Linked DNA regions of Rattus norvegicus. The protein of the gene in region 1 interacts with the protein of each later gene in a pairwise test. Links are inferred from orthologs where the notes say so. Each region holds a gene or a part of one and is shown in the gene's direction. Other genes may lie near its edges.

Region 1 (4,193 bases):
TTCATTGCTACCTATGAGGTCAGAGTCCAGGGTCAGTCCATGTACAGTCTTTAGGTAGTGGCTTAGTCCCTGGAAGCTCTGGTTGCTTGGCATTGTTGTTCATAAGGGGTCTCAAGCCCCTTCAAGCTCTTCCAGTTCTTTCTCTGATTCCTTCAATGGGGGTCCTGTTCTCAGTTCAGTGGTTTGCTGCTGGCATTCGCCTCTGTATTTGCTGTATTCTGGCTGTGTCTCTCAGGATTAGTGCTAATTTATAATTAGACTCTGCGTGTTCTCTTACTCCTTCCTAATGGGCACTAGTGAAGTGTTTCCTTGGTGCCAGTCTGCTGTGCTCAAGTTGTCTTCAGCCTGCTGTGTGCAGGTATGTGGGGCTTGTGCAGCTTTTCATGGTCACTGGTAATCGATTCTCTTGGTGAGCTGCTTTTTATTTGAAAAGGGTCTTTATACACTCTGGTAAATGTATAACACACTAAAAGTATTTTCTTCATATTTGTAAATGAAAGAACAATTGAAATGTTTTGAATTCCTTAGATTCAAACCTAGGGCCTTATGTGTGCTAGGCAAGTGCTCTGCCCCTGGACTGCATCCTGTGCTCTTTAATTTAAACTGGCGCACAAACAGCACAGCTAAAGCTCCTGTAGCTTTATTTTGTTCAATACAAAGTTCAGCTCTTTGTCTCCCCTCTCTCTCACAGGCTGGGTGGAGCCCGCCATTACTTCAGCCCTCCTGCTTTAGTTGTCCAGTGCTGGAATTGGTGCGAGCCACTGTGCTGACTTCCAGATCTGAAGTAGACAAGGCTTAGAGAGGCTTCAGAGGACTAGGAAAGTGTTTTATTTTGTTGCTTTATAACTATTCATCTATTTTGAGAGAGAGTTACTTTTTAGTCCAATTTCTCATGGATTCATGGGCTCAAACAATCTTCTGGACTTATTAATCTGAATAATTATGATTATAGGTACAAAATACCACACCTGCCTTATAATTTTTGTTTTGTTTTAGTTTTCTTGCAACAGTTTCATATAACCTGGGCTGGTCTCAAACTGCTGTGTGATGAAGGATGACATTATACCATCTTCCTGTCTCTACCTCTTTTTTTTCCCCTTTTTTTTTGGAGCTGGGGACCGAACCCAGGGCCTTGCGCTTGCTAGGCAAGCGTTCTACCACTGAGCTAAATCCCCAACCCCTCTGTCTCTACCTCTTACCTGCTAGGATTACAGGTGTATGCCCCTACATATGCTCTTTGTGTGTGTGTTTTAAGATGTATTTTTATTATGTGTATATGTGTGCATCTGTGAGGATATGTACATGTAAATATAAGTGCCTGCAGAGGCCAGGGGACCTGAGTTCAGATGCCTAGAACCCATAGGAAAAGCTAGGCATGATCTCATGAACCTATAGCTAAGGGTGGATAAGTTAGGGTGGGGGTTTGGTAGCTGCCAGCTTAACTCCAGTTTCAAGAGAGAGCAAATAAGTGGAGAGTCTTAGGGCAGAAAAACCAATGCCTGTCCCCCCCCCCCCCCCCCCAAACACACACGGTGGGGAGGGGAGGAGAAAATGTATTGACCTCTTTTACAGATGGGTCTTTTTGGTGGAAGAATGTTGTAAGGTAGGAATTTGTCCTTTTGTGAGTGGATGACAGTTAAATAGTCTTTTTACTATAATACATTTTCACATAGACCTGGACTTGTTTCTGAATACTCTGTTCTGTTTTCTTAACAAGTCATACCATATATGTTTACTTTAACAGACCTTTTTAATGTTTGTTCAGCTAATTTTCTACTTTTATGACTCAATTTCTCTTCTCTTTAAAAAAAGAAAAGTTGGCTTTCCCAAGCATTACCTTTTCAGATGCAGTCTGGAGTCGGTGTGCCAATGGGGCTTTGGACTCTGAGTAAATTTAGAAGATTAATTTGAGCAAATCAGCATGTACTTATTCAATAAGTGAGCCTTGCTAGATTCAACTCAGTGAATTTATTTTAACAGTCATGTTTTATAACAGTATCAGGACGGTGATCAAAACTGGAGTTTTCTCATTATCAAGTCAGTCTTTGAAACTGATACTCTATAGTTAGCATAAAATACTGATGGTTGTTAACAGGAACTAATACGGCGTGATTTCAAGTCCTTGATTGACTCTCTTGTTGGCTTATGCTTTCTCAGACTAAGATGCTGATGGGTGAGGTGATGAGAGAAGCTGCCTTCTCATTGGCTGAGGCCAAATTCACAGCAGGGGACTTCAGGTAAGATGACTAACAGGGTGTTTGAAAATCTCACAGTGCCTTCAAGTTCAATTAATTAAAAATGTATAAAAACAAAGGATATAGTGATAGGAATACTTTTAATGTCATAACCTTAACTGCCTCTGCCTTCCTTGTAGGTAGCTGCCTCTTACCTTCCTAATGCTTTTAGTAAGTGCCAAGCACAGAATACTTGATATTTTGAAGCCCATTTTCACTTAATGTTTTGCCCTGTTTTCACAGGTTTGTACACTAAGAAGTTTTATAATTTATTAACCATTTTCCTAGTGTTGGATCTTTGAGTTGAATGCTTGATTTTTGAAATCTGAGGAAATGACTGTGAATATTTTCATGTGTCTAGGATACATTTTTTTTTTTTTTAGAATGGAATCCATTATTCAGTTGAGAGCTTTATGACTTTTATCACATCATTGTAGCTTGACAAAGTGTGCATGCACACTGGCTTGTGAATGCATTATGCCAGTGTATTTCCTCATGATTCTCTTAGTACCTCTGTGAGGCAGATGAATGGTGTTACCCCAGTTTAAAGTGACAGTGTTCCTGACTCTGTCTCTGGTTACAGACAGAGGTGGAAGTTGTTTCCTGGACTTCTTAGTTTCCTTTGTCATGACATGGGCCCTTCCTACTGTAGCAGCTTTTCCTGCCATGCAGGCCTTACGCCCGTGGCCCTGAAGCTAGTTAAACCCAAGTTTCCCTGTCTGCTAGTGTAGTTGGATAATGTAGTGGGATAATATAATTAGTTGCTCTAACTTTCCCAGCAGAAGGGGACTAATAGGACATTTTATGTGGTTAAGGGGAAAGTTTGTCTTTGTCTTTTGTAACAGATGGCGAGTGGATGACATCAGAGGAAAGTTAGGATAAAGACTACATAGCAGCTCACCAACTGAACAGCAAACCTCCAAGGAAAGGAAGTTCCTGCTAGGAATACATCCTCCAGAGTCACATTTCTACTCACCGAAACACCAGCCATCCACATACTTTAAATGTACTTATCCTGTACTGATTCAGCTGTTGTTAGTTCTGCACTGAGGGCCTCCATTACCTCTGTTGAGTTTTCTTTTCTGGAATAAAGATGATTACTGGGGGCTGGCAAGATGGCTCAGTGGTTAAGAACACTGGTGGTCTTCCAGAGGTCCTGAGTTCAGTTCCCAGCAACCACATGGTGGCTCACAACCATCTGTAATGGGATCTGATGCCCTCTTCTGGTGTCATTGACGATAGAGCGCGTGTACACACACACACACACACACACACACAATCTTTAAAAAAATGATTACTGACACATAATGTAATGTCTTATTCCTTGTTTCATCATCCAGTGTGTCCTTGTAGAGTTATTTTTGCAAACAAGGCTGAATAAAGACTGCCTCGCTCTCTTTCCTTCCCTCCTAGCACCACAGTTATACAAAATGTAAATAAAGCCCAGGTGAAGATCCGAGCAAAGAAAGACAATGTAGCAGGTAAGTGACTGCCCTAATCCTTGGAGGGTAAAGGTGGCAGCTAATCAGTTGCAGGACAAAGTCCCAGGTTCTCTTCAATTAGGAGCAAGTTGATGGCATGTTCAGACTTTAGCAGCCTAGTTCTAGGACTCGGGATAATTTGAACTTTGAGAAGAAGCAACTCTTGAGAAGACAAAGTCTTAAGTATAGTACTTGAAACCACTTCCAGTTCTAAACTTAACTCTTGGTGTTTTTTAGTATTTGATTTAGTATTTCTAGTATTTGATACTTAGTATGGAAAGCAGCACCCTTTTAAGGAGGCAGAGGCTGGCGATTTCTAATTTCTAGGCTAGCCTGGACTACATAGTAGAATTGTGTGTTTAAAAAGAAAAACAGCGGGGTTGAGGATTTAGCTCAGTGGTAGAGCACTTGCCTAGCAAGCGCAAGGCCCTGGATTCGGTTCTCAGCTCCGAGAAAAAAAAAAAAGAAAAACGGCTTG
Region 2 (4,666 bases), on another chromosome or scaffold:
AATGCAGATATGAGCTTCCCAGCCGCATTGTAGCAACACATTGCTACAATTAGCATGCACTCTCTTCTAGCTCCTAAGCCCACCCTTGCATTAATTTCCTGGTGTCCACGGGGTTGTGCTTCCTCTGGGGTTTGAGGAAGAATCCACTTCCCTTCCTCTCCCAGCTTTACTGAAGCCTCTGTGCTGAGAACAGCCTGCACTCTGGAATAGCCACCGTGACATGATGCCACGGGGGGGGGGGGGGGGGTGTCACCTGGCCATTACAGCTCTAGGAGTCCTGGTAAGTGAGTGTTCCTGAGACACTACCCTGACCCTGAGCTGGATCCCGATTACTCTTCTGGGTCCCATCCACAAGTGGTTCTGGATGTTGACTTTGTGTAGGTCTCTCTCTCTCTCTTTTTTTTTTTTTTTGGTTCTTTTTTTTTTCGGAGCTGGGGACCGAACCCAAGGCCTTGCGCTTCCTAGGTAAGCGCTCTACCACTGAGCTAAATCCCCAGCCCCCTCTCTCTTTTTTAAAAATATTTATTTATTTATTTATTATGTATAGGTCATACAGCTTTCTGCCTGCATGTACGCCTGCATGCCAGAAGAGAACCAGATCTCATTACAGATGGTTGTGAGCCACAATGGGTTGCTGGGAATTGAACTCAGGGCCTCTGGAAGAGCAGACAGTGCTCTTAACCTCTGAGCCATCTCTCCAGCCCCGTGTAGGTCTCTTTTCCCTTCCCAGTGTGCATGGCATGGGGGAACGTGAATGCTGGAGGTCTTTATCATGAAGTCTTCCGTGATGGACTGCCACAAGCAAGGATACTTAGCACACAGACCTTCCACAGACCCCAGGCGCACCTACAGAGCACACCAAGTCTTTTCTGTACTGGGAACCAGACACACAACCCTTCACGCTCCTTCCCAACCCATGTCATATTTATTGGCGTGAATCAAACAGATTGGCTTTATTTACGTCTACTGTCCTGGTATGGAATCTGATCTCACCCGAAAGTGTAGCCTTTGAGAACCCTAAGAGAAGAGATGAGGCCAAGATTGGCCAAGATAGGACAGGGGTTGTGGGTCATCTCGGCAGCACCAGGGGGAGGTGGGAAGATGGCAGATTCCTGGTGACTGGGGAGGAGAAGTTCTGATTCCGACCATGCAGAGAGAAGGAAGCAGCAGGATGGAGTCTCGTACATATCCCAAGCTCTAGGGGGCTAAGGTCTCTACTGCCTGACCTTCTGTACGTCCTCGGGCTCCGCTGACCGCGGGTCACTGCGGCCTGGAGAGGGGCGGGGCTCAGAAGCCAGAGAAGGAGGAGCCTGAGAGCGGACGGGGCGGAGCCATGTTTGTGGGCGTGATAGAGCGCCGAAGCAGGGAGGGGGCGGAGCTCAAAGGGCGTGGTAGCGCGGAGGCCTAGGGGCTGGGCTTTGGGCGGGGCTCAGGGCGGCCTGAGTGCGCTGCTGCGTTCCACTCTTCCGGCCCGGTGTTCCATCAGCTGCTTGCACCTTCCGCCCAGCGCCGGCTTTCCGCGCGACGATCGCCGAGTTCCATCTTCGCGTGGCCTCTGCGGCGCCCGAGCCCGCAATGTCGGGCCCCAACGGGGACCTAGGCATGCCGGTGGATGCGGGCACGGAAGGCGAGAATGACAGCTTCGGGGAAGCAGGTGACCTGGGAGGAGAGGGGTTGTTGCTAAGGCGACCTTTACTCTGCGGGGAGTACTGGCCTTAAGATCTGGAATCGGGCGGGGACGGGGGGCGTGGGAGGGCCTGAGGAGTTGGGCTCTGGAGTTGTCCCCACAGCCACCTCGGAGGCGATGGCGAGCAATAGCAAACAGATCCCTGAGCGCTGCAGTACTGGAGAACTGTCGCTAACCAACCCTGGTGTCTGAAACTGAGGCAGCTTCAGAGCACCTTGTCAGTTTGGGATTTGCTTCAGCCACTTTCCTCGCTAAGAGGGGGCGGTCATGCATGGCTCTGCAGGTGTTGGCCGGGTGGGCTCCCCACTATGCTGAGTCAGCACCCCAGCCATCTGGCTTTGCTGGTGACCTCCTTACTGAGTACTGTGCTTGGGTGCACAACACTGCCCAAGGACCTCAGGGGACGCATCGGCCCACAGACAGCTTTTGCACGTTTGGGAACCTCAGTTTTCCCATCTGCAATATTGGGCACATTGGTGTCTTCTGTATTGAAGTGTGTCAGAATTTAAGGGAAAATGGGATAGAAATGGTTAGCTTCTAAGATTCCAGAGTACAAGTTCCTTCTGAAAGCCGGTTCTTGTTTGTTTGTTTTGAGTGTTGTCAAGTCTGGTGCCTTACCTAGAGGGCAGGACTTGATTACTGTGCAATAAGGATGGGGTATGCTTTTGTTTTCTTATAAAAACTTTATTAAGCTGTAGGTAACACACTAGATTGTACCATTTAAACTGTACAGTTCTGCAGTTTCATATATTCACAGCATAGTCCTTGTCACAACAGGTTCAGAATATTTTTGTCACCTGGGTTCTGCCCTTAATAGAGGTTGTCGTCCATTTGGAGGCATAGTGGGCACTGTTGGACAATAGTGACTGCTGGCAGCCACAGTGAGCATCATGAGGGGACTAGGTGAGGTGGTGGCATAATTGAATGACATTGGGGTGGGGAAGAGGCTGTCCCAGGACTGGAGCAAGGGCTAGGAAGTACCCAGGACGTAGGTGGAGCCTGCAGACATCACCTCTCCTAGCCCTTCTGCTGGCCTGCCAGGATGGATGGGAACAGCTAGCTACCCATTAAGTGCTTGGTGTGGCCTGACCCCGACTGAGCTCTCAGTGTACTGCAATTGCAGAGTCCCCTACCCCACTCTAATAAGGAGTGCTGGGCTAGAGCAGACCTGGGACTCATGTAAGGGTCTCTGACCCTAGGTCTGAGTTTTGACCCTGTCACCAGATGGAATGAAGATGGACTAGCAGCTTGAGAGGCTCTAGGCTGTGTGAAGGATGCCCTCTGTGGGTCATGGGAACTGTCCCTGAGAGGCAGCACATACACACTCATGCTCCAGTCGCCCTCCCTGGCCTCTTCCTTAAAACCACCAGCTCCTTCCCTTTGTTCCCAAGTTGGCAGCTGGGTGTTTCTGAGTCATGGGCTGGCTCGGAAGTGGGTCCCGCAGTGGGCACGGACCCAGACCTTGGATCCTAAGGAGACACAACATTGCTAAGAGGCAGGTCAAAGAAGCTGTAGAGGACGGAGACAGGAAGACTTCTCAGAGGAGGGAAGACATGGAGGAGGAGGTATTTTGAGTAGGTCCTTGAAGGATTGTTGTGGCTGATGAAGTAGATGGTAGACAGTTAAGCAAAAGCAGGGACTGGAAAGCCAGAGCTTCATTCATTCATGCATTCACTCATTCATTCATTCAGTGCTTATTTGTGTCATCGAGGGCACTGGGGAGATAGAGAACACAAGACCCGTCACCTCCCCTAGAGCTTGATAGTTGAGTGTGAGCAGAGGGTGAGCTCAGACCAGCACACTACAGCAGTCATTTCTGAAGGGTTGCTGTGGAGAGGGGGAGGCTGGAGAACCAGGACAGAGTCTGATGTAGTACCGGACCCAGGGAGCCTCCCCTTGGTGACAGCTAAATTGAAATAAGCGGTGGTCATCCCAGAGGGAATGACAAGGGTGCCACCCAGTGCCTTCTAGGCAGGTCACCGGTCTATTCAAAGGGCCTGAATCGGACAAGGCAGGTGAGAGGAGCAGAAGGCTTTGAGCTGTATCTGTCAGCTCTAAGGAGACACAAGACCTTCTCTCTATCTTTTCCCTTCCTCCCAGAGTATGCTGCCATCAACTCCATGTTGGATCAGATCAACTCTTGTCTGGACCACCTGGAGGAGAAGAACGACCACCTCCATGCCCGCCTCCAGGAGCTGCTGGAGTCCAATCGGCAGACACGCCTGGAATTCCAGCAACAGCTTGGGGAGGCCCCTGGTGATGCCAGCCCCTAGGTGCCGGGAGCCCCCAACCAGGCCCCACCCTTACCTCTCTAGGCCATGTTCTGGCCTGGCTAGATACTACTTGGCTTAGACACCATCTCAGGTACTGGCCTCCAGATCCCCTGGTGGGTCTACCAGCCTGGACCAGTCCCCACTCACTGCCCATCACTCTTCCTGGAGTCAGGTGCAGTCCTACAGTTCACCCACTTGTCTGCCTTCCCAGCTCCTGGTCTCTCTCCCCTCCACCCAGATTGAGTGTCATATTAAAGAGGTCTCCCACACCACTGCCCCCTTCTTCTCTTTGTGCCCGGACAAGGACCCCAGTTGCCACTGGAGGCAGATGAGCAGAGACTGTGATCCATGGACCATATGATGGACCTGAGCCTTTCATTTCTGATCCCCAGGGTGTGGGTGAGGTCAGGGCTTCCTACCTGGTGTGCTGCCCTCCAGCAGCTGCTTCCGGTTGATGCGGGCATGCTGTATGACTGTGAGATACAGACAGGCCCCCTGGGCATTAGGGCCTTCCACCATGGTAACCACCCCTAGGATGTGAAGGTGAACCTTCCTGGCTGGCACTGACAAAGCCAGGCTGTCTGTCTCCAGTGGAGAGCTAAGGATGGACCCATTCACTGCTGATCTGTCTCTGGGTTTGGAGGGCTTTGCCCTCTTGGTGAACCCAGAGCTGATCCTCAGCGGCAATGACGCCCCTAATACAAAT

The links. The genes of interacting proteins can lie anywhere in the genome.
Region 2: the proteins of Atp6v1d (region 1) and Bbln interact in binary tests that used the Homo sapiens proteins (3 or more experiments, as listed by UniProt). The two-hybrid records come from large-scale screens. The link is inferred for Rattus norvegicus from reciprocal best matches to the Homo sapiens genes ATP6V1D and BBLN.

What each region holds. Positions count from the first base shown.
Region 1 is NC_086024.1:103,395,039-103,399,231, reverse strand, and holds part of Atp6v1d (V-type proton ATPase subunit D), read left to right. Parts: intron 1-2,157; coding exon 2,158-2,237; intron 2,238-3,647; coding exon 3,648-3,715; intron 3,716-4,193. UniProt on the Homo sapiens protein: Subunit of the V1 complex of vacuolar(H+)-ATPase (V-ATPase), a multisubunit enzyme composed of a peripheral complex (V1) that hydrolyzes ATP and a membrane integral complex (V0) that translocates protons.
Region 2 is NC_086021.1:36,071,888-36,076,553, reverse strand, and holds Bbln (bublin coiled-coil protein), read left to right. Parts: upstream 1-1,483; 5' UTR 1,484-1,575; coding exon 1,576-1,654; intron 1,655-3,787; coding exon 3,788-3,960; 3' UTR 3,961-4,229; downstream 4,230-4,666. UniProt on the Homo sapiens protein: Essential for intermediate filament organization in intestinal cells, interacts with intermediate filament and regulates intestinal lumen morphology.